Linked DNA regions of Oryctolagus cuniculus. The protein of the gene in region 2 interacts with the protein of the main gene of each other region in a biochemical or structural test. Links are inferred from orthologs where the notes say so. Each region holds a gene or a part of one and is shown on either strand. Other genes may lie near its edges.

Region 1 (4,216 bases), on a different chromosome or scaffold from region 2:
GCTTAGTGAGACCATGTTAGATGAAATTTTCCCAAATTCTCATACAGGCTGATTCATTGTGTATGCAGACTTATACTGCAGAATTATACTCAGCAAAGAGGAACTGCACTCCTTATATAAACAAGACACATGGTACTGTAAAGAATGTTCAAATGTAGTAATTTATAATGATAACAGCAGCTAACACTTACTGGGCTAACATAAACATGCATTTTCTCAATCACAGAACCCTTGGGTCATAAGTCCTATCAATCTCTAAGTTTGAATGGTCAAGTCACATGAACACAGAGATGTGACAGGATTTGCCTCAAGTCACACAGCTACTAAGCAGTAGATCTGGGATTTGAATCCAAAAGATCTGAATCCAAAGTCTGCTGCTCCTCACCAGTGAGCGGCACTGCCTGACCCATTGCAGAGAGTGAGGTTTTTGCCCTTTAGCAGTAGAGTCCTGAAGAAAGTTCATAATCACTAGTTCTGGGTGATTGTCAGTTCCTCTAATAGTAGGAACTTAATTTTTAAAAACACACCTATTCTTAGAGCAACTTATTATAAAATAGTTTGGAGAAAAGAAATGAGTATGCTCGCAACAAATTTCATAGCCATTATAATACATTTTCTTTCCAAATCAACCTGACAGCTTTTTTAAAACTATACTAAAGTTTGCCAATCTATAAAAATTGAAAAGTTTGATGAACAATTGAAAAGATGAACAATATGCTATTTAAAGTCTCTTAGTCCTTAGAATTAACCATGGGATATTCATTCTGAAAACTGCATTTTTAGACTGACTGGCAATTGGGTTCCTCAAAGTGCTGTGGATAAAAAGTCTCCAATTATTGCCAATTAGCAATGTGATTTTAGAAGTAATAGGAAACAGATAAACAGGCCAATTTTACAAAGTAATAAAAGGTGCTGTAAACATCAATAAGAAAGGCAGTTCCAAAGAGTAAAGTCCTTCTGCCCCATCCACAAGGAGGAGATCTCCTTCAGGGGCCAATGGCCTCTCCTTTGCACCTGGGTTTCAGGTTTGCAGCACGTGTAGAGAATCAGAGCTCAGAGGACTGTGAATCACTTTCTCATACACACATTTATGGGCATATTTGTAGCAGAGTTGACTTTTCCAATACTTTAGCATGCTGATTCACTGGAGAATTATGAGCCTGGCAGCATCCTGGGAGAGAGCTGCCCCTATTGGTTCACTCACACAGGTATAGCAACAGGAACAAAGTAGATGCGGTACCTAAAGAACACTTGAAACACGAAACGCTACATCTAATTACACTTCACCTAAGACTCTGAATTTAAACTCTATTTTTAAAAATCTCATTAGAAGGAGTTTGCAAGCTTTTCTAGCTGTTCATTTGCAAAAAAGGATAGGAGCACAATCTCTTCCATGTCAGTTGGTTATAACTTCAGCATCTATTCCCCGGGTTTCACACTTTGCAAAATTCTGATGTTCTTAAATTAATAATAGGTACTATTAGCATTTTGAATATACCTATTTCAATGGATTTGATTTCCTTCATAACAGGAAGAACAATGGAATTCTGCAAAGGCTTGTTAGACTTACTTGGGATTCTAACAACGAAAACTTTGTTTAATCACATAATTTCCAACCCCAGCCCCCATTTTTTAATTCAGTCAACAAATGTTTTCTGAGCACCTACTACATGCAGGAGTGACACGTGGTATGAGTGCCAAGAAAACAAGTTTCTATTAAACATGTATGGGGGAAACGGCGGCGCAAACAAGAATCCTTTATGAATAGCTTTGTCACCGATAAGTTTCTTGGAGAAATCGAAGAAAACAGTTTCACAGTAGCCCACTTGGGTCTAAGAGTCTGCCTTTCCGTTGCAAGCAGACTTGGCTCTACCCCAACAATGGGCTTCAGTTTATTCTTCCATCTCTTCTTAACGCTTTCCATCTTATTGCTCCAAATCCACGTTTTCTTTCAAAACCATGACAGCGCATCTCTTAAGAACCGAGAACAAAAACACTAGTCCTCTCTCCCCGAACCCTGCCCATATCCTCTCCCTCCTCTTTCGTAGGCACGTGTGCTTGCGCAGCTCAGCTGAACACCCTCTCACCTGAAAAAAAGTTTGGAGAGGACGCCGGCCTTCTCCAGAGGCGACTTCTGCATGGTCTCTCGGAGCGCCGGGCTGCCTGCCGGGGCAGGCTGGGCTCGCGCTCCTACTGCCGGACGCCCTGCTCCTCTCCGCGCCCGCCGCTCACCCCTTTTTCTCTGACCTGCCGTGATGTCATTTGCCGCCAACTCCCCCCACCCACCCCCATGGCACACACCTCCCCTTTCCTGCTGCTCCTTCCCCCGCCCCCGCTGCCCAGGTTAAAAGCCCGGCGCTGCCTGGCCGGCCCCACATTCGCTCCAGCCGCCTTCTCCGCCCCGGCGCGCCCCGGCCGCTCCCCGGCCGCTCCTTCCTTCTCGCCTCCTTCCCGCCTGCGCCGCCCCACGCCTCCCTCGCCCGCCGCGGACTCCCGGCCTCCTCCCTCGCGCGCGCTCCGTGCAGCTCCGCGTCCCTACCGTCCAGCCGCAGCCCAGCCCGCGCGGCCGCTCTGCAGGTGCGGGCGGCGACGCCTGAAGACAGAGCCACCAGCGGGAGCAGGAGCGGCAGCACCGCGGCGAGACTCCTGGACCTTCCTCCTCACCAGGTCCCTCCGGCCCCGGGACCTGCCGCCGCCAGCTTCCCTGTGCCATCCTCCTCCTCCTCCTCTTTCTCTTCTTCCTCTTTCCCCGGATCCTAGCCGGGTTCGTGTAAGGTTTGCAAGGTGCATTTTGAAAAGGGAAATACCTCTCTCCAGCATCAAAATGCAGCCTTGGAGAGCCGGCAGGTCCTGCGTTTGTGCCTGGTGGGTTCGCCCTCGCGCCTCCTTCGCGGGGCTGGGGAAGAACCCAGCGTTGTTAGTTTCAGGCTTAGGTGCGCTCCAACTGCGGCTAAGACACCTTTGGAGACGCACTTGGGGGGACGAAAATGTCAACATCTTGCAAAGAGGTAAGAGCAGCTAGTGCCTTGCCCGTCGCCGCCGGAGAGTTGTTAGTTGTCTTTACGAAGTTTTTACTAGTCTAGCTTGCGTTTCTAAGGAGGCTTTTGTGTGCCTAAGCGACAGTGACGACTGGACAGTATGTAAACTCACCCGCCCTCCTATGGATTTCCTGGTCTCGTTCAGCAAAACGTCTTGACTACTGCGCCGGAAGGAATCCAGGCAGCCTTTGAAGCGAAGGTGGCGCATTAACTTTGATCTGACTGAATCTGAGGGCACCTACCCTTTCCTAAGCGTGGGCGCCTTCCTTCCCAGGTTTGGGTGCCTGTCGTGTGGATTTTAAAGAGCCAAGCCTTTAATTTCTGAACTCTATTGTCAAAAAAAAAAAAAAAAAGTGCTAGCATAATGATAGAAAGGAACATACATTTCAATTCATGAATGTGTTCCGCAGGTTTTGATCACTTTCCTTTGCATTTTAATGTCATCTTTTTTCCCTTCTATCTTAAAGTGGGTTTTAAGAAACATTCACATTTTATTGCACTGAATTTTAATAGTAGAGAATAGAAGAGCAAAGAGATGGAACAAAATGATGACAGGATGAATCGGGAAAGAATTTCAGCATTTCTAATTCATGACCCTTGCTTCATAGACTGTGCTGGTGTTTTCCTCTCTCCAGTATCACAAAACTTGAGGCTCTGTTTTCCCTATTGACTTTTCTCAGGAGTGTGAGTGAACTTACTTCATCCACTTCACCATCCTAAGTCTGTTTTCTCCCTACTAGCATGACCCATCAAATGTAAGACACAAATGTTGAAAACAATTGGCAATTATTTCCTTGTTGTTATCAATGAGCAATGACAATGAAGGGATGAAGAATCCACTTCAAGATTACAGAAGCTGACCAATGAGTATGGCTCAAGGAGACCCCAAATACTTTTCAACCAATCTCCCTCCTCTGGAAAGAATAAATAAAATAGTCACCTGAGTTCTTACTATTTGCTGCACATCATTTCATGCAAACCTCACGCTCACCATGTGAGTAAGTGTTGTTATCCTCAATCTTCAACTAGGAAACAGACTAGAGGAGTTAAATAAATGCCACTAATGATAAAGCCAAGATCAAACTCAGGTCTATTTCCAATCTCTCCTTTCAGCATATAGTATTGCCCCTAGTCAAATCACCCATGTAATTTTGTTTACATTTTGCCAGCCACCAAAC
Region 2 (4,220 bases):
ACCAAGCTCCACGCCTCAAGGTACAGAAGATAATTTCAAGGGTGTTTTTTCTCAGCCCTCTCGGGATCTTAGTCTATTTCTAATGCAAAAATAAAAAAGAGGGGCCGGCACTGTGGCACAACAGGTTGAGCCTCCACCTGCTTGCTATATGGGCGCAGGGTCGAGTCCCAGCTGCTCCATTTCTGATCCAACTCCCTGATAATGTACCTGGGAAAGCAGTGGAAGATGGCCTAAGTGCTTGGGCCCCTGCACCCACATGGGAGACCCAAATGAAGCTCCTGGCTATGGGGGAGTGAACAAGCGGGTGGAAGACCTTGCTGTCTTTCTGTTTCTCTCTGTAACTCTTTCAAATAAATAAAAATAAATCTTAAAAATAATAAAAAGGAGGGGGGATGGAGGAGGAGGGGAGGAACTGGAGGCTGAGGTGGAGGGGAGAGAGGAGGTGAGTCCTCAGTGGGGGTGGGGGAAAGAGAGGCAGGAAGACCCCTGACTGCTAAAACCCGGTCTGTGGTTTTCAAAGACTGGCGGTGACAGTGATGAAGGCCAGCGATGACGGAAGTGGGGAGATGGGGCTTAAAAGACCAAAGAGTAATTTGAGGGCTGAGAGCTCCTTCAGCCTGAGCCCGGAGGCGGAGAGAGGGAAGAAGACTTCTGTTCCGAGGTAAAGAGGCCTGGCGGGGACCCGGGGTCGGAGCCGCGGGGTGGCTTCAGGGAGGTCCCCGGGAAAGCTGCTTCTTGAAGGGGAAAGTTCCCTGCCCTCCGGAGTCCGGGGGGACCAGGGCTGCCTGTGAGGGTGGCCGGTGCCATGTTCTTTGTGGACTCTCTGGCCCATCCTGAGGTTCCTTGAATGGTGAGCGGCTGAGGGAGCGCGTGGAGGAGTCTTCCCACTCCTCCAGGCACTTTGTTCTGCTAGGCGCTGGGGAGGGGCAGGTGAATGTCAAGGGGTCATCTTTTTGTTACTACAGAGGAGATGAAGGAGAAAGAACTCCAGGGGGGAAAGTTACCAAGATTCCAAGATTCAGATCAACCCTCTACCAGATCAACCCTCCAGACCTGGGCTGGGACAGTCCCACCCTCAAGGCTCCGTGGAGCTTGGAGGTGGCCCTGAGGGGGACCTAAGATTGTGTGCCCTGGGGATAGATACAGCAAGGCAGGCTCCCAGCCACTGGAGTGTGTGTAGCAGAGTAAACCCAGACATTCTGGGCTGGGGGAAAAAAAAACGGCTTAGAGATAATTTCCCTCAAGTTCCAAAGACCTCCTCCGAAGAATCAGGAGGCATGGTTGCCTCATTCCCTCTCCCCCACCCCCGCCCTGTGCCACCCGTGGAGCCTGGACCGCAGCAGTTCTTAACTGAGAATGACTCATTCATTCATCCTTAACCATAAATACATTCATTCCTGGGCTCTGTGAGTTTGGGAGGAAAAATACATCTGTATTTTCACCTGTCTCTACGTGAAAGGTAGCAGTTGCTTCTATTATGAATGTAGGCAATAAATCACAGTAGAATTTGCCGTTGATAGAAATCGCAGGTATTTTCCAATCTCATTAGAGTTCATGCCGAGTTCGCCAAGCATCATTCATGCTCATGACTCCTATGAAATTACTGGAGTAACTGGGCCAGCACTGGGTCTTAAGAAGCATGGATCTCCTGGGTCACTCGTGCTTCTAACGTCTTAAGACGATTTGCTTTCTTTGTTATCCTCTGTATTTTATTTCATGAATTTTCAAATGTTATTCTGAGAGGGGGGCTCCACGGACTTCAACAGACCACCAGAGGGACCCCAGCCAAGAAGCCCCACTCTGCTGTGTTGAGAGGGGTCAGGGCAGAAGCTCTGTTTGCTCACAAGCCTGGTTCTACTTGGGTTATGGAGGGTGGCAGGGTGGGAAGTCCCTTCACAGCTGCAAATGAGATGCGGACTCCGGGAGGTGTCCGTGGAACTCAAAGCTGACCCCCGGCTCCTCTGAGAGGCTAGATCCAGGCTTTGGTTCCAGGGGGAATAAGCTGCTTTCTCACTATCTTGTCGCATCAGACAGTCCACACTCTGCACAAAACCTTGGGCAAACCTCTAACTTTTAACCACCTCGGAAGTCCTGCCAGGGAGCTTCAAACACAAGCTGAGCCTGGTAAAGTAACCCGTCCTAGATCACGTGAAGACTCCAGGACCAGTACGCAAAGGGCTGGGGGAGGGGGCAGTGTGCTGTCCTCTGCAATCTCCTGCCCAGCTGCCTCACGGTTCTGAGAGCCCATAGCCCCTTCAACCCCTCTCTCCCTCATCCAAAGCAGTTCAGGGGCCCCAAGGAAGACTCAGGGGTGAGGATGCCAAGTTGATCGGCACCCTCCTTCCCGCTCCAGGCATCGCCACCTTCTAGGACGCAGGGAGCTCAGCAAGTTCCCAGACTCCTTGGCCCCCTCCCCGCCCCACTTCAGAAAGCCAGTTCCCTCTGGCTGCATCCCCGGGACCCACCTTGCTCACACACACCCCCTCCCCGCGCTCCTGGCCGCTGACCCGCGCGGGCGCAGGTGCAAGGTCGCGTCGGCTGCGGCTGGAAGGCAGCGCCCTCTAGCGGTCAGAGTGCAGAAGCCGCGGGGCCCGGCCCGCACTACCGAGGCGTGCTACCGCTGCGGGGCGCCAAGGTCACTTCTTGGAAGCGCACCCTGGCCCCATTGCCCCCGGCTGCCCCCAGCCCCGAAGAAGGGCCCACGACGGCTTACACGCTCCGCTCTCCCTCGGCCTTAGGTACCGCGAGGCCGGGCCACGCCGCTGAGTGTCTCGCCGCATCCGAGCCTGCGAGCCGAGCCGGCTCCCGCGTGCGCTCTTGGAAGCAGTCCCTACCCCGCGTCACCCCCACCCCCATCCCGCTGCACCAAGCCCTCAGGAAGCTCGCCCAGAGAAGGGACATGACCTTCTCAGCGCCTTCCCGGTGCCAAGCCAGTCCTGGAAGCCAAATGCCCCACTCCCCGCCTTGCGTCACCCACCGAATCCCGTTCCCGCACGCCTCATTCAGAATTTCCCCTCTCCTAGTCCTGAGGATTATGCTTCTGACCTGATTGCTGCTACTACAGCTCTCCTGGGTGGCAGCTCTGGGCGAGGACAGACACCAGACTCCAAGATCAAGACTCTCCTAACCTGGCTTAGCATCCTAGCTCCTGCGCGGAGCAAGTGTGATTTTTGTGAAGTCACAAGATCTCTCCTAGCCTCTGTATGCTTAGTACACAGGATAAATTAAATAACAGCTCAGTGCTTTCTAAGAACTAAACACAGTCGTGTATGTGGATGTACCTGGGACCTTGTATATTCCTTTCAATGTGAAGAACCCCTATAAATCATCAGGCTGGGCCGACGCAGTAGGTTAATCTCCGGCCTGTAATGCCTCCATCCCATATGGGCGCCGGTTCGAGTCTCGGCTGCTCCTCTTGGAGCAGTTCTCTGATATGGTCTAGGAAAGCAGTAGAAGATGGTCCTAGTGCTTGGGCCCCTGCACCCTTGTGGGAGACCCAGAAGAAGCTCCTGGTTCCTGGCTTCGGATCTGCCCAGCACCAGCCACTGCAGCCATTTGGGGAGTGAACCAGTGGATGGAAGACCTCTCTCTCTGTCTCTTCCTCTCACTATTTGTAACTCCACCTTTCAAATAATAAATTCTAAATAATAATAATAATAATAATAATCATGGCTAACTTTATTTTGTTTTTGAGCTCTGGCTGTGTGCCACTCTGTTACCTAGGTGACCTCTCGTAACCCCCACAATCATCCCAGGAGGACAACACTATCACCATTTTATAGATCAGCAAACTCGTTTTTGGAGAGGGCACTACATCTGCCCAGGGGTACCTGGTGTCAAGGCTGCTGTTCCGACTCTAGAGACTGTATCTGTCCATGACAGCAGCTGAAGACTGTTCTAGTGATCTCCCTCTGCCCTGCCATGCCTAACCTGCCATGGGTGCTCACAAAGCACTGGCCAAATGTGTCCGCCTATTAAGCGCTGGGCATTGTACCTGGCCCAGGAGCCCGAGAAACTCACCCAGGTCCCATAACTGTTTTTAGGCCCAGCATTTGGACATAAGCAGTCTGGGCCTAGATCAGTGCTTTTTAACCATGACCCTGGGCTGAGTGAATCCTGGCAATCCTTTATCCTTCTCTTCAAATCAAAGGGTGCTTTGTAGCTAGCCACAAAACGTGCTACTCGACATCCATGCTTGGTTGCAGGAGTTACTAGGACGT
Region 3 (3,500 bases), on a different chromosome or scaffold from region 2:
GGCTGCACTGAAGACTTGAGATGCTTCTGAGTAGCTGTATGTTGTCACTCCCTGAACTCCCCCGCTGTCACCTCTCCCGGGAGCTCCCAAGTGATTTCATTGATCCCCAGCAGCTCCAAGATCTCTCTGGACTCTGGTTGGCTCAAGGCTGTGAGTTGCCAGTCACTCCTTTGCTTCCAGAACAGCCCCCCTTTGCTATCTGCACCCAACCCTTCCCCTACCCCCACTGTTCTCCTCCCAGACTGAGCCAGGTCTGCCTCAGCACCGCTTGCTCCTGGTGCAATCCCCCTTGCCAGGGTTCGTGGTGAGATTACTGAGCAGTGTCTCTCTCCCTGCCATGTGCTGATGTGTTTGGGGGAGGAATCAGGTTGACTTTGGCCATGCTGGTTTGCACATGGCATAGCGAGTGGCTCTTAATAGGCAGTCAGAACCTAGTTGTTACCTGTGGCCACACGCTGGGTCCCGTGCCCAGCCCCATCCTGCCTCTCCGGCGGGGCCACTCCCAGACATACCTGGAAGGAGCTGGACAGCTTCTCCCGGGGGCTGGCCAGGGCAGCCAGGATAGCGGTGGTGGTGGTGCCGATGTTGGAGCCCAGTGTGAGAGGGTAGGCTCGCTCGATGCTGATCACTCCCAAGCCTGGGTGGGGGTAGGGGGCCGGGTGGGGTAGGGGAAGAGGATGCGGTTCCCCAAGCTCCCCCCCAACCAGCCTGCTGTCCTCAGTCTACCCCACCTTGGCTCGGCCAGGCACTCACCGACGAGTGGAGTGATGGCCGAGGTGAACACGGAGCTACTTTGGACAATGAAGGTCATAGCCGCTCCCACCACCATGGCGAAGTAGCCCGTGACCCAGGTGAAGGGGGCAGGCAGGTCTGCAAGGAAAGCCCATGCCAGCAGCCCGAGTCAGCAGAGGGGGCTGGGAGAGCAGGGCCTGCCCTGGGCAGCAGGCGTCCGAGGCCAGGCCCCTGCTCAGTGCCCTCCACTCACTCTTGATCGTGGACGAGAGGCCTTTTCCCACCTGCTGTGCCCAGGCCGCCATGCCTTTGCCTGGCCGGGCCCGCAGCTTCCCCACAAGACCCTACTCAGTGTCTGAGTGTGCATCCTCAGGACACGGCCCAGACACCTGGCAGTAAAGCCCTCCTTGGCCCCACCCACCTGCAGGCTTGGTGTCTCCCCTCTCTGGGCCCCCACGATACCACAGTGCCCTTTCCTCCAGCGCCTGTCACAGGCCACTCCCAGGGCCAGTGTCCCCAAGGCTCACAGTGAAGCTTACCATGAACGTCGGATGATGTCGCCTCCGCCCCAACCCCCTGATGGCTCCCCTTACCCTTGCCAGGCTGGGAGCAGAGCCTCGAGGCCCTGAGGTCTGGCCCGGCCCCCTCACTTCTCTGGCCATGCCCTGAAGTCTCCTCTACTGCCGTGCTGCTAGCCGCTCTTCTGTGCCACGAGCCTGCCCCCGAGCCTGGGCACTTGCTGCTCCCACCACCCAGAATGCTCTTGGTCCACAACCTGACCGCGTGTAGAGGCCGCTGCCCATCAAAGCAGCCTGTGCCGCACTCCTCAGCTGCCATCTTTGCTGTCTCCCTGGCAGCCACCTTCCTTGTTCTCTGCGATTATCCTGCGTTCCCACCTTGCCCTCTTGGGCTCTGAGCCCCTGAAAGCAGCCTCTGCATCCCCCACATCCTGCAAGTGGCTTCGTGACTTTGTCTACAGCCTCTGAGAAGCTGCACCTGCCGGGATGGTGGCCCTGAGGCTCACCCTCCAGGCGACTTTGAAATCGCCTGGTCTGATCCCTTCTGTGTTCACGTGCGGAAATACAGGCCCAGGAGATGGTAGGGGCAGGACATGGCTTTGGAAGGATTTGGAGGGGCCGCTCGCTGCTTGCTGCTCACCGGTGTTGATCACTTTCTGGATGACCTTGGCCACTTGGCCCTTGAGCAGGGAGTTGAGCATCTTGACAAGGAGAATGAGACAGGTGCACAGGAGCACCAAGGAGCCGGCCAGCAGGATGAGCCCCACGGCCAGGTCGGGCAGCTGCGTGTCCACGAAGATGTGATTGCCTGCAGGGGAGTAGCTGAGCTTCTGGGAGCTGGCCCCACATGCAGCCCCCACTGCCCACCTTGGCCACCCCTTTGGCTCTGGGCCTCAGGTCCCACTCTGGGCTCCTTCGGCCTCCAGACCAAGGCCTGAGTCTCCCTTCCTGGGGCTGGAGGCGGCAGTGGCTGGGCTGGGGCGGCCCCACCCTGCCGTGGGGGACACCTGCCGTGTCGCAGGCACTTACATTTCTCCATGGTGGCATTTCCATGGGTCCGGCTGATGTTGGTCTCTGCCCTGGCCATGGAGGTGGAAGCCTAGATTAAGAGGAGTGTGGATTTAGGAAAACGCAGTCTGGGGTTGGCACTGAAGTGGGGGCGGGGGAGACGGGGTTTCCTGACTCTGCGGCGGTGGGCAGGTCACTTGCCTTCTCTGAGCCTGTTTCCTTTGCTAAAGAAACGTGGCTGAGCATGCTTGCCCCATGAGAAGCTGAGCCTGGCCGGCCCTCTGCACAGTCTGTCTGCCCCATCACCCCTCTGGCCTGGCTCCCTGGGGGCCAGCAGGTTCCCAAACCCAGCAGCTCTGGGCTCCACTTTCCTCCACGCTCAGTGGCATTGGATGCTGCTGACGGGCGCAGAGGCCACAGGGTGGGCAGGATGCCTAACTGAGGAGCTCAGCTAGGAGAGGAGGAGGTGGGTGTGTGTGTGCTGGGTCTATGGGGGCGGCAGCTCCTGAGCTCCAAGCCATCGTCACCATCGGAAGCCACGGCTCTGATACCTTAGGTGAAATCTCCCAATCTTCACAGTGCAGGGGGCAGTATGGCAGCCTTGCCTGGTCCACGGGCCACTAATTTGTAGTCCCACTGGGTCAAGGAGTCATTATAGAAAATGTGGCCCAGGTCTTGTCACTGGTGCCCCCCAGGAGCCCAGCAAAACCCAGCGGTGACAATAGAAAGTGGGCGGGGCATAGATGGGCAGACACCCTGCTCACTGCTAGGGAATCCTCTCCACAATGGACAGCTGTTCCCAGGGCTGCACGTTAGTGCCCCCTCCCTGCAGTCTTGGGGCCCCAAGCAAAATGCAAGAGCTGTAGCTTCCTCCTGTTCACATTGCGCCTCTTCTGGGAGCTGCTTTGGGCACTGAAGCCATCTCTGCCCGGGGAGCTCAGCACCCCCCCCCCCAGGGCCCTCCCCCGGTGCCGAGGGTAGGGGCTGGCACTTCAGCGTTCATAGCTCCTTCAGGTTTTGTTCTGAGCCCTGTGTCATAGGGCAGCCATCAGAACCGCTGATGACATTCCGCTTGCTACTGTTAGGGTTCACCTGCGTGGCACATGCTGCCTTGGGGAGAGCGCTGTGTGTTCCCAACTTGACCCCCACTAGGCCTTGGGGTACTGCCAAGCCTGGAGGCCTGAGCTGCAGGCCCATAAACCAAGGGCAAATGACCTCCAATGGGCTAGATAGGAAAACCAG
Region 4 (3,939 bases), on a different chromosome or scaffold from region 2:
TTCTGTTAGAACTTCTGATATTTAGTATCTGTCTGGAATTTCATGGCAGATGTGATCTAGGGATACAAAGAAATAACTTAGTAGGAAAATGCATGGATATGGAGTTGGCTTTGCACTTTTGTTTGCCAAATTCCAAAGTTGGGACTTTCCTTCCTGGTCTGACAACTTACCTTGGAATTTAATTTTTAAAAAATGTATTTGAGAGGTGGGTGTTGTGGTACAGCAGGTTAAGCTGCAACTTGAGACTACAACATCCCATATCAGAGTGCTGGTTTGAGTTCTGGCTTCTCTGCTTTCAATCCAGCTTCCTGCTAATGCACTGGGAAGGCAACAGATGATGTGTTAAGCACTTGGGCCCTCTGATCCCCGTGTGGGAGACCTGGAAAGAGTTCTGGGCTCCTGGCTTCAGCCTGGCCCAGCCCTGACTGTTTCTGGAGAAATTTGGGGAGTAAAACAGAAGATGGAAGAGCTAGTGCTCACACTTGTTCTCTCTCTCTCTCTCTCTCTCTCTCTCTCTCTCTTTCTCTCTCTCTCCCTTTCCCTCTTTTTTCCTCTCTCTCTCTCTTTTCATACTCCTTTCAGTATCTGAAAATAAACATTTAAAAACATTATTTGAGAGAGAGAGAGAGAGAGAGAGAGAGAGAGATCCCATCCTTGTCCTGGCCACAACTGTTGCAGCTGGGCTTGGCCCGGGACCAGGACCAGGACCAGGGCCAGGACCAGGATAGGGAGCACAATCCAGGTCTTGCACATGATTGGCAGGAACTCAATTACTTGAGCCATCACTTGATGCCTCCCGGAGTTCACATTGGTGGGAACCAAGCCCAGGTTCTTTGATACAAGATATGGATGGATATCTGAACCATTAAGCTAAAGCTTGCTTCCTTGCCCAGGAATTTAAGACTGATAGGAATTAACATGTTAAAGAAGTTACCAAATGCTACTGATGTAGCCTCTTACTAAGTTAAGGAGAATGAATTACTGAGGTCTTTGCTTAAATGTTTTCTCATCAGAAATAATTCTCTGATACAAAATAGCAAGCCTATCACTGTTCATTCCATCCTATCCCCTTTCTCAGATTTATTTTTCATCTTAATACTTACTACCATCTGTCATAGTCTATTTACTTGTTCATATTCTCTCTTCCCTCACCACAAAGTCACCTTCAGCCAAGAACAGAGTACTTTCCTCCCTGCTGCATCCTTAAAAACTTGCAATAATCCTGGTGCTGAGTGATCAAGTGGAAATAATTGCGGAATGATGACTGAGTATTTGCCATTCAGCAACTTAGTTTTTATTTCACGGTACTTAAGCAGAGAAGTGTACAAGTTCGAATCTCACTCTAACAAATTCCCTGAACACCAGTGCCCTATAGCTGTATACTCTGTTGGGTCCCTGATATTTGTCCATTGCTTCCCCATCAGTTGCCCCCACCACAGGCATTCTAGCTGCACTTGTCATTATTGGTGGACAGCATATTACCTTGACAAGTTCTCAGCTCAGCTCTTGGAGTTAATTTTTCTTCCCCTATCATATTTATACCTTTGTTTAGTTGCCAAGTTTTTAAAAATAGTTCTCACAGGTTTTCTCCTGAACTGGCACTTCTCTATTGCTTAGGCCATCATTCTGTGATTTTTCTGGTTTCTATCTAACCTCTTTCTGTAGCTGTTCATCCTGTTTATTGAAGAAAAGCATTTCTCAAATATTATTTCCATCATATCTTCCGAGATTTCTTGTACAAGAAGAATAATTTGAACTTTGCAGTTTAAAATTCTAGCCTATTGCAGATCAAACTATCTTGATATTCTCCCCAGCATTATTCACTCCCAATCACCTCACTCCCAACTTTTGCAGGTATATTTATTTTTCTGTATATAAAGTAGCATACTGTAGTGTATGGACTCACTTATTTTTTAAAGCATATAGATATAGAAGTCATTCTCTAATATGCAATCTTAATTACTATATGATTAATTAGACTACCTTTTCTGAATAATTCTACATGAACTTTGAAAATGTTTTTAGCACATTTTATCTTAGTTGTGAAACAAATGGATTTTGTTTTGCATAGAGTTTACTGTAAATATGGGCTTGGAAGAGAAAGGGGGTACAGAGGGCAGAGGAGTACAGAGGACAGACATGTAAGCAAATAGGTATTGTAGAACATAGTAAGTGCAGTGACACAGGTCTCAAAAATTCCCTAAAACATACATATTTACTAACATATTTCAAGTAATAGGAGATCAAAATAAATTTAAGCAGCATTCTTACTTCATTGATCACATTTTATGCTAAGATCAAAATGGGAATAACAGAAATAAAAATATTAAGGCAAAAATATTCAATTAAGTTGCAAAACAATCCAACCAGTAAAGCACACTTACCTAGAAAATGTAGAAATAGGCAAATATACACCAGCTTGTGTCTTCCCAAAGAGACATCAGCAAGCCATCCAGCCAGCACTGGGGTGAGTATGGAAGTTCCAATGAAACACAAGTTCAGTATGGCTGCCTGGTAATTGTGATAGCCAAGCTTGACAGTGCAAAATGGGACCATGTTGCAGACAATTTCAAAGAAAGTAAACGTCTCACACAGGTCCACCAAAAGCAAGCAAACCCAAACCTGAATTTTTTTCACAGAGTGTGATGAAGAGAAACAACCTATATGTCTTACAGTTGTCTCCTTTTCAATGCTGTGATTGAAGAATATTTTCTCATCAATTATTGTAAAGTCTGTATTAGACATGACTACCTTCCTTGGGAATAACTTGTGTTAGTAGTTAGAACTTGACGGTTTTTACCCCTGCCCCTCTAATGAAAAAATAAGTAAGACTGTTGCTTTGAATGTCACATCTCCATGCTAAAACTTTGTAAGGTCTTTTGCAGATTGATGTTGTTCATTCTGATGATCCAGGAGCACAGGAGAGAAGATACAGGTTATTTGGACATTCATGGTAGCTCAATGTAGCCAAATCTGATTTGTTTGTTTAATTACTTAGAGACTAAATTAGGCTATTCCTCCAAAATTATATTGAATTACATGAATCCAGTTGCATATGTGTGGAAACTCATCTGCCTCATGCTGATAAAATTTTAAATACTGAGACAGAAGATGCAGTTTTTCAGTAGAATTTGAGCATTAGATCAAGAAATAATTTGAGTCTAATAATTTCTGATATTTTAATTAAACAAGCCAGAACACTGCCAAGAGATAAAGCGCAAAGGAAATCTGTTTTGAGAGGGCAGAGTACCTTATCATTATTACATTTCTTGTTATTTTTGGTTGGGATTCTGATAAGAAAGTTAATTAGGTAACAAAAGTGCTAGTACATTTAGGTAACAAGCAGAGTTTACAAGAAAGTAATTTAAGTGCACTAATGAAAGGAGAAAATATTAAGCAAAACCTTGCTTCCTTTAAGTTGACCCTATGCTTGTAGAACAGTCTCTCAGAGGAAATCAGAATCAAAAGGCACTATTTGACTCCCTTATTATTAATCAGCAGTCAGGGATACAGCAATCAGCCTACACATGCTTCAGGGAATATTGAATCTGGTATCACCCTGACCCTCCAGCTGGGTGAATGTATGTTAGCATTTTATTTTGGAAGCAAGGGGGTACCAATTAAGCTAAGAAGCAGCAGCAGCAAAAGAGAACACTTTAACATTTGGGAGTTTAGTTGCAAGGACATAGGAAGGAGAGGGAATGGAACTGTTGAGCCAAAGTCATAATGATCCAACACATGACTATGGGGATGTTATATTCTCTTATTGTGTCTGATTCTCATCGTTTGTCCCTGGAGATTGGTAGCAGAACACCATCTTTGATCACTTCTTATAGCATCACTACAAGGTTAATGAGACTGTCTTTTTTCTTGGGTAGAATGATCATGCAATTGATTTTTGAAAATTGGATACTTTTGTGAGTAAAGTGATGCTATTTA
Region 5 (3,425 bases), on a different chromosome or scaffold from region 2:
GCTGGGTGCCGCCCAGCGCCAGCTGCAGCCACACCTCGGTGGAGCCTGCTCCGTGGCTCCTCATGGGCGGGGCCGGAGAGCCCTGCGTGTTCCTGGCTGATTCGGAGGGACAGGGAATCCCGTCACTGCCCGGGGGAGTGCCACCGTGGGCCCCGACTGTGAGGCTGGAGGGCAGGCCGGGGCTGTCGAGGCCAGAGCGTGCACCCTGGCTCTGCTCCCTCCCAGCGCTGTGCCAGGGCAGTTTCCTTAAGCCTCGCTTATCCCATCTATGAAGTGGGGCAACACCTGCCTCCCAGGGCTCAGGGAAAGACGGAATGAGATGACGCTTTGAGGCGCCCAGCGTGGTGCCTGGGCCCCGCAGAGGCTGGGAGCTAGCAGCAGCCACCCCACACCCTCAGACCAGGAGCCCCCAGCACACCCCGCTCTGTCCAGCAGGGAGCCCCCGCACACCCCGCTCCGCCCGCCGGGAGCCCATCCCTGGAGTCCAGGAGGGGAAGGTGGTCATTGGTACTTGGTCTTTACTCAGTTGTCCCAGCAAAGCCCCCGAGCCAGCTCTGCCTGGGAGCCTGACCCTCGGGACACCCAGGCTGGAGGGTGGGAGGGGTCAGGGCTGGACGGGCCTGGAAGGGGGAGGGGAGTTTGCCACGTACAAGGTGGGAGGGGCCCGAGGGGGCGGACCAGGTCACTGGGATCCTGGGTGGGGCTGAGGAGCCGTAGTCCTGTAAGGTCAGCTCCAAGCTGGCAAGGCGGCGGGTGGGGCAGTGAGGGGGAGGGGCTTGCCCCGGGCCCCGCCCCTCTCCTCCCTGCAGCCAGGAGGGGTCAGGGGTTGGGGTGAGTTTGGGCCAGGCAGCCTCCTGCCCGGCAGCCGGCCACTGCCCCTTCCGGGTTGCGGATGACGAGAGGGGGCAGTCGCGGGAGGGGAGCAGGACGCCCGAGACGCCCGAGGGTGGTCCTGGGCCCCTGGAAGCCAAGGCCGCTTTTCCAGGGCAGTGGAGCAGCCTCCCGCTGCGGTCCGTGGCGCCGGGAGGCTAGAGCCGCGTGCATTTCAGGACAGAGGTCCCCGCCGAGCCCGCGGCGCTGGCCGTGGCCTTCTCCGCCGCTCTGTTGGGGAAGACAGGGGCGGGTGTGTCTGGGGGTGCAGAGCGACCCCTGGCCTGTGCCTGTCCTAAGCACCTGGGGGTACGACCCTGGCTCCCCACCTGGGGATTTTGGTGGAGAGGCCCGGGACCGCCAGCGACAGCCATCACAGCCTGGGGGCTGCCCCCTCACAGCCCCCTGGGCCCGTCTGCAGGTGGACCTGGGGCGAGCTGGGCCTCCCCTCTCCCGCTCCACCACCAGTGCTGTGCCCGTGTCGGGGCGTCTGCTCCCCCGTCATGGGCTGCGTGGCCGGGCCGCCCTGTCCTGGGAGTGCCCGGCGGGCGCGGTGGTCGAAGCTGTACTCACCGGCCCTGCAGATCCTGCACGGTGTCGGGCAGCGGCAGGCCCCGCGTCTCGGGCAGCAGCAGCGCCGTCAGGCCGCTCAGCACAGGCACGGTCCCGTATACCAGCAGGGGCAGCGAGGGGCCGTGGGCGCCCAGGAGCCGCACCAGGGGCCCCAGGATGGCTCCCCCGCGGGCTGCCATCTGGCCCAAGCCCACGGCCGTCATCCTGACGGGGCGAATGCGCCTGTGAGGGTCACTGCGCCGCCCACAGCCTTGACCCCCACCCCCACCTAGCCCAGAGCCCACGGGGAAGGGAGGTGGCCTGCCCCCCCCCCCCCCGCGGGCCTGCCTCACCTGAGCACCGTCGGAAAGAGCTCGCCACCATAGATGCTGATGCAGGTGAAGGCGGCCCCCAAGGACCCCAGCCCCGCCACGGCCAGCACTGAGCGCACGGCCCCCATCTCTGTGGGGAGACGGGTCAGCAGGGCGGGTGTCGGGTCCGTGGCTAGGGACCCCCAGAGCCGGCCCGGGGTGTCCCCCTCCGCCTCGCCGCCCACAGCCCAGTGCTGTGCTGCCCGCTGCTCCCCGGAGCTCCCGCGGGCCCAGCAGCGACTTCCTAACGGGGCCCCTGACCCTGCCCCCCACCCCGGCAGCCTGGAAGCGCTGCCCGGAGGCCTGGCCCTGGCGCCTGCCCGCTCACCATGGGGCACCAGCGTGTTGGCCAGGACGCAGAGGCCGGGCAGCACGAGGGAGGCGGCCTGCGAGGGCCGGCGGCCCAGGCGGCTCAGCAGCAGCAGGACGCCGGCCTTGGCCGGCACGTCCACCACGCCGATGAGCACCTGCAGCAGGAAGACGTCGCTGCCCAGAGCCTGCAGGTCCAGCGCCAGCCCGTAGAAGGTGAAGCCGAAGGCGAACCTGAGGGCAGACGGCGTCAGTGGGGAGGGAGGGGCGCTCTTCCCCCGGGGGCTGGGGGGCGGGGAGGGCCCGGCGGACGGTGGCTCCCAGGCCCGCTGGCCAAGGTGGCCCTCCCACCCCTGCCCCTCCTGCAGGCTGCCCACCCACCCAGCACGAAGCCCGGGATTCCTTCTGCCGGCCTGGGGGGGTTCCCCGTCCCCTGTCCCCCATCCCCGTCCCCCATCTCCCATCCCCCGTCCCCTGTCCCCTGTCCCCCATCCCCTATCCCCATCCCCTGTCCCCCGTCCCCCATCCCCTGTTCCCCGTCCCCTGTACCCCATCCCCCATCCCCCGTCCCCCATCCCCCGTCCCCTATCCCCGTCCCCCATCCCCGTCCCCTGTCCCCCATCCTCTGTCCCCTGTCCCCCATCCCCTGTCCCCTGTCCCCTATCCCCCATCCCCTGTCCCCCGTCCCCTGTCCCCCATCCCCTGTCCCCTGTCCCCCGTCCCCTGTCCCCTGTCCCCGTCCCCTGTCCCCTATCCCCTGTCCCCCATCCTCTGTCCCCTGTCCCCCGTCCCCTGTCCCCCATCCCCTGTCCCCTGTCGGAAGCCTGACAAATCCAGGGGAGGTGGGCCTCGTGCTGGGGGCACTCAGTCGGTCACAGGCCACAGGCCAACCAGGGCGCCGCCTGGGCGGGGGGTGGGGTGGGGTGGGGTGGGCGGGGCGGGGGCGGGGCGTCACCAGCACAGCATGGAGATGCAAGTCCGCAGGCGAAGTCCCGGCGTGCGGAGCAGCGTGCTGAGCCGGGCCGGAGCTGGGTCCCCGCTCAGCTCCTCCCGCGTGGCTGACAGCAAGACCTGCGGGGCGGGCGGGGGCGCTGTTGGCCCGGGAGCCCGGGGCAGGCCCTCCTCCCCAGACCCTCCGGTGGCAGGGACAGAGTCTGGGGGCGCCCGGCCCTGCCTCACCTCCATGGTCAGTGCGCCCCCTGCTGCCGTCTTCCCGTTGATGGCGGCCACCCTCCGCAGCTCCCGCAGGCCACGGTCCAGCCTGCCCGTGGTGAGGAGCCATCTGGCCGACTCCGGGAGCCACCTGGAGTGAGGGCGCTGTGG
Region 6 (2,919 bases), on a different chromosome or scaffold from region 2:
CATCCTAAGTGACATAGCAAACCACCTCTGACTGCAGGGAGTGACTCCCAACACCCCAGGGAGGACTCCCTCCCTTCTCCTTGAGGGCCCAAACCCACTGTAGTCCTGTCTACTTTCCTTTCTCCTGTCAGTCTTCCATGTTCATTTCCAGAAGCCTTTATTTTCTTCCTTTTTTAAAAAAATGATTTATTTATTTATTTGAAAGGCAGAGTTACATAGAGGGAGAAGGAGAGGCAGAGGCAGAGGCAGAGAGAAAGAGAAATCTTCCATCTGCTGGTTCACTCCCTAAATGGCTGCAATAGCTGGAGCTGGGCCAGGCCGAAGCCAGGAGCCAGGAGCTTCTTCCATGTCTTCCATGTAGGTGCAGGGGCCCAAGGATTTGGGCCATCTTCCACTGCTTTCCCAGGTCATTAGCATGAAGTTGGATCAGAAGTGGAGCAGCTGAGCCTATGGGCAGTGACTTAACCGATTATGCCACAGCACCAGCACCTTTGTGTGTGTTTTTTTTTTTTTTACTTATTTATTTATTTTTTATTTTTTGACAGGCAGAGTGGACAGTGAGATTGAGAGACAGAGAGAAAGGTCTTCCTTTTGCCGTTGGTTCACCCTCCAATGGCCGGCGCAGCCAGTGCGCTGCGGCTGGCGCACCGCGCTGATCCGATGGCAGAAGCCAGGTACTTATCCTGGTCTACTAATTTGAATTTTAGCTGATTTTAGCTTTAACTGAATTTTTATTTAACTTCAGCAATACAAGGTTGACAGCTAAACATCTCTAAAAGGGAAAAGAGAGTCTGCATCCTATCTTCCCATCCCTGCTTCCTCTCCAGAGGCAATCTCTGTCCACTCTTTTTGCTACTTCTTCTGGTGTTTTCCTCCTATTGCTACATACTTGCCCGTGTAACTCTGCATCATCCCAGCTTTAGTTATGCGTTATTGATGATGGAAGATGGGAACTTAGGTTTCTTACACCTCTCCCTCAACACAATCTCCTCCCCTCATTTTCTGAAAAATATTATAGTGTTTCCCTGTTGACATTATTCTCTGTAAATATTATTCACAGCTCATCCATTTAGTGTGTATGGTTAAATGTTCCCTGTTATACAGCAATTTCTTTTTCTTTTGTATCTGATAACTGCATTAAATTTTCAGTTGCTTACTTTTCTGTGTTGATCACTAGTTCATCACGAACTCTCCAAAAGAAATATAAATCACTCTGAAGGTGTGCAAATCAAGTATTTTCTTATTTTCCTTGGAGACATCCTCCTACAGTCCTTTTGGATTCCTGCTCCAACCTGTGTGACCCTGCTACACACTAACATCTGGGAATTCTCTTCCCCTTTCTCCTATGCCATGTTGTCCTCCCTCTTGATTTAATCTAATGTCATGGTGTTGGTGGTTGGAGGTGTCCTTATCCTTGTGACAGTGCACAAAAAGATCTCCTCCCACTACCTATTGCTTTTCTACATTCTATCAAAAGGGAAGGTATCATCATACTACTCAAAATGTTTATAGAAGTACAACAACCTTTGTAACTTGTTCTCCTTCCTACCCTTTCCTGTTGTGCCCAACCCAAACCCTTAGAGCCTTCTGGACCCCCATCACAAATGATTAACTGGCAAGAGTTAGAACTGCAGCAAAGTCAGTCCAAACCCAAATCTGAAAGCAGAATGGCAATGTGCATCCTCGACCCTCCATCTCCCATGTTCCACACACAATGCCTCCATGCCCTACGGCAGGGTGGGGAAACACTTTTGCCAAGGGCCATTTGGATATTTCTAACATCATTCAAGGACCATACAAAATGATCAACTGGAAAATTAGCCTGCTAGAGATTTAATGAATTTTGAGTCTTGCTTGTGTTTGCTTTGGCAGGGCCAGCTATTCCCTATTCCGGTCCTAGATAAATGCCCTGGTCTGTCTTCTACTCCTCCTATCCCTTCTGTTCCTCAGACAAAAGAGTGGCAAAGGGAACATTCTTACCTTCCAGAGCCAAATGGAAGTCCTCCTTCCCCTACTTACAATCAACCAGCTTTCTCTTGCCTCAATCCTTCTACCCTTTCCCTCTCATTGTCCTTGTTTGGGGCCTTGGCTTGCTTTGTTCTAGGGCAGCCTTTCTTTTCATAGTCGAAGTCTGTCCCTGTATTCTTAGGAAGCACATTTTATCTGCACTGGGGCCTCCAGGGGCTTCTTATTTGGCTGTATCTCAAGGGGTTGAGGAGGGAAGGGGAGTGGGAGAACCCTGGATATAGAGTATGCCTTCAGGTTGCGAATGTAGAAGGCTCGAAGGGCCAGAGATCTGGTACAGGATCTGATGAAAAGCAGGACCTACTGTTCCTGGCACTTTTTCCCAATCTGACATTTCAGGGAGCAAGACTTGTAGGACTTTTCCTTCCTGTATCCCTCATCAGACCCAAACCACTGAAAATATACCTAATGACACTTTGAAGTAGGTCTTATCAACAAAAGTCATGGTCAAGTTCATGTTGGGATTGGATGTTTGTTGGGAAGGCTGTAAACACCAGGTCATTTGGAGATGTCAAGTGCATGGAGGTGGACACAATGGTGCATGAGCAGGCATCACCCAGTAACTCATTACACCTTTGCTTCCTTTCTCAGCCACACACAAACAGGAAAGCTGAACTTTGTCTCTGCCTCCTGGGAATGACCTTTTCTGAGCACAGCCCTTAGTCGGTCCTTAAAGTTCTCCCCAGCAAAGTAGTAGAGCAGAGGATTGAGGCAGCTGTTGGCAGCTGCCAAGACCAGTGTGATGACCACGGCTTTGTGCAATGTTTCTTGGCACTTCCCCACTTCCCACGTGAGCAGGTGCAGGGTCCTCAGTGCGTGGTAGGGCAGGAAACACAGGAGGAAGAGGATCAAGGCTATGATGATGGTGATCAGTGCCTTCTTGTGAGAAAGCCG

Evidence for each region.
Region 1: the proteins of PDZK1 (region 2) and CFTR form a complex in vitro, tested with the Homo sapiens proteins (2 studies listed by BioGRID and IntAct, with this or other methods). The link is inferred for Oryctolagus cuniculus from reciprocal best matches to the Homo sapiens genes PDZK1 and CFTR.
Region 3: the proteins of PDZK1 (region 2) and SLC34A1 form a complex in vitro, tested with the Homo sapiens proteins (2 studies listed by BioGRID and IntAct, with this or other methods). The link is inferred for Oryctolagus cuniculus from reciprocal best matches to the Homo sapiens genes PDZK1 and SLC34A1.
Region 4: the proteins of PDZK1 (region 2) and SLC15A5 interact in a test that uses a peptide from one of them, tested with the Homo sapiens proteins (2 studies listed by IntAct, with this or other methods). The link is inferred for Oryctolagus cuniculus from reciprocal best matches to the Homo sapiens genes PDZK1 and SLC15A5.
Region 5: the proteins of PDZK1 (region 2) and SLC22A12 form a complex in vitro, tested with the Homo sapiens proteins (2 studies listed by BioGRID and IntAct, with this or other methods). The link is inferred for Oryctolagus cuniculus from reciprocal best matches to the Homo sapiens genes PDZK1 and SLC22A12.
Region 6: the proteins of PDZK1 (region 2) and CYSLTR2 interact in a test that uses a peptide from one of them, tested with the Homo sapiens proteins (2 studies listed by IntAct, with this or other methods). The link is inferred for Oryctolagus cuniculus from reciprocal best matches to the Homo sapiens genes PDZK1 and CYSLTR2.

What each region holds. Positions count from the first base shown.
Region 1 is NC_091434.1:153,028,876-153,033,091, reverse strand, and holds the start of CFTR (cystic fibrosis transmembrane conductance regulator), read right to left. Parts: upstream 2,801-4,216; 5' UTR 2,791-2,800; coding exon 2,540-2,790; intron 2,241-2,539; exon of another isoform or gene 2,141-2,240; coding exon of another isoform or gene 2,088-2,140; intron 1-2,087. UniProt on the Homo sapiens protein: Epithelial ion channel that plays an important role in the regulation of epithelial ion and water transport and fluid homeostasis. Mediates the transport of chloride ions across the cell membrane.
Region 2 is NC_091438.1:49,176,844-49,181,063, reverse strand, and holds the start of PDZK1 (Na(+)/H(+) exchange regulatory cofactor NHE-RF3), read right to left. Parts: upstream 2,801-4,220; 5' UTR 2,714-2,800; intron 1-2,713. UniProt on the Homo sapiens protein: A scaffold protein that connects plasma membrane proteins and regulatory components, regulating their surface expression in epithelial cells apical domains.
Region 3 is NC_091437.1:63,391,444-63,394,943, reverse strand, and holds part of SLC34A1 (sodium-dependent phosphate transport protein 2A), read right to left. Parts: intron 2,350-3,500; coding exon 2,280-2,349; intron 2,059-2,279; coding exon 1,891-2,058; intron 871-1,890; coding exon 754-870; intron 638-753; coding exon 513-637; intron 1-512.
Region 4 is NC_091440.1:114,128,641-114,132,579, forward strand, and holds the start of SLC15A5 (solute carrier family 15 member 5), read right to left. Parts: upstream 2,801-3,939; 5' UTR 2,746-2,800; coding exon 2,385-2,745; intron 1-2,384. UniProt on the Homo sapiens protein: Proton oligopeptide cotransporter.
Region 5 is NC_091432.1:6,862,480-6,865,904, forward strand, and holds the end of SLC22A12 (solute carrier family 22 member 12), read right to left. Parts: intron 3,406-3,425; coding exon 3,282-3,405; intron 3,174-3,281; coding exon 3,058-3,173; intron 2,337-3,057; coding exon 2,122-2,336; intron 1,885-2,121; coding exon 1,776-1,884; intron 1,648-1,775; coding exon 1,444-1,647; intron 1,102-1,443; coding exon 1,029-1,101; 3' UTR 501-1,028; downstream 1-500. UniProt on the Homo sapiens protein: Electroneutral antiporter that translocates urate across the apical membrane of proximal tubular cells in exchange for monovalent organic or inorganic anions. Involved in renal reabsorption of urate and helps maintaining blood levels of uric acid.
Region 6 is NC_091440.1:68,018,553-68,021,471, reverse strand, and holds the end of CYSLTR2 (cysteinyl leukotriene receptor 2), read right to left. Parts: coding exon 2,593-2,919; 3' UTR 501-2,592; downstream 1-500. UniProt on the Homo sapiens protein: Receptor for cysteinyl leukotrienes. The response is mediated via a G-protein that activates a phosphatidylinositol-calcium second messenger system.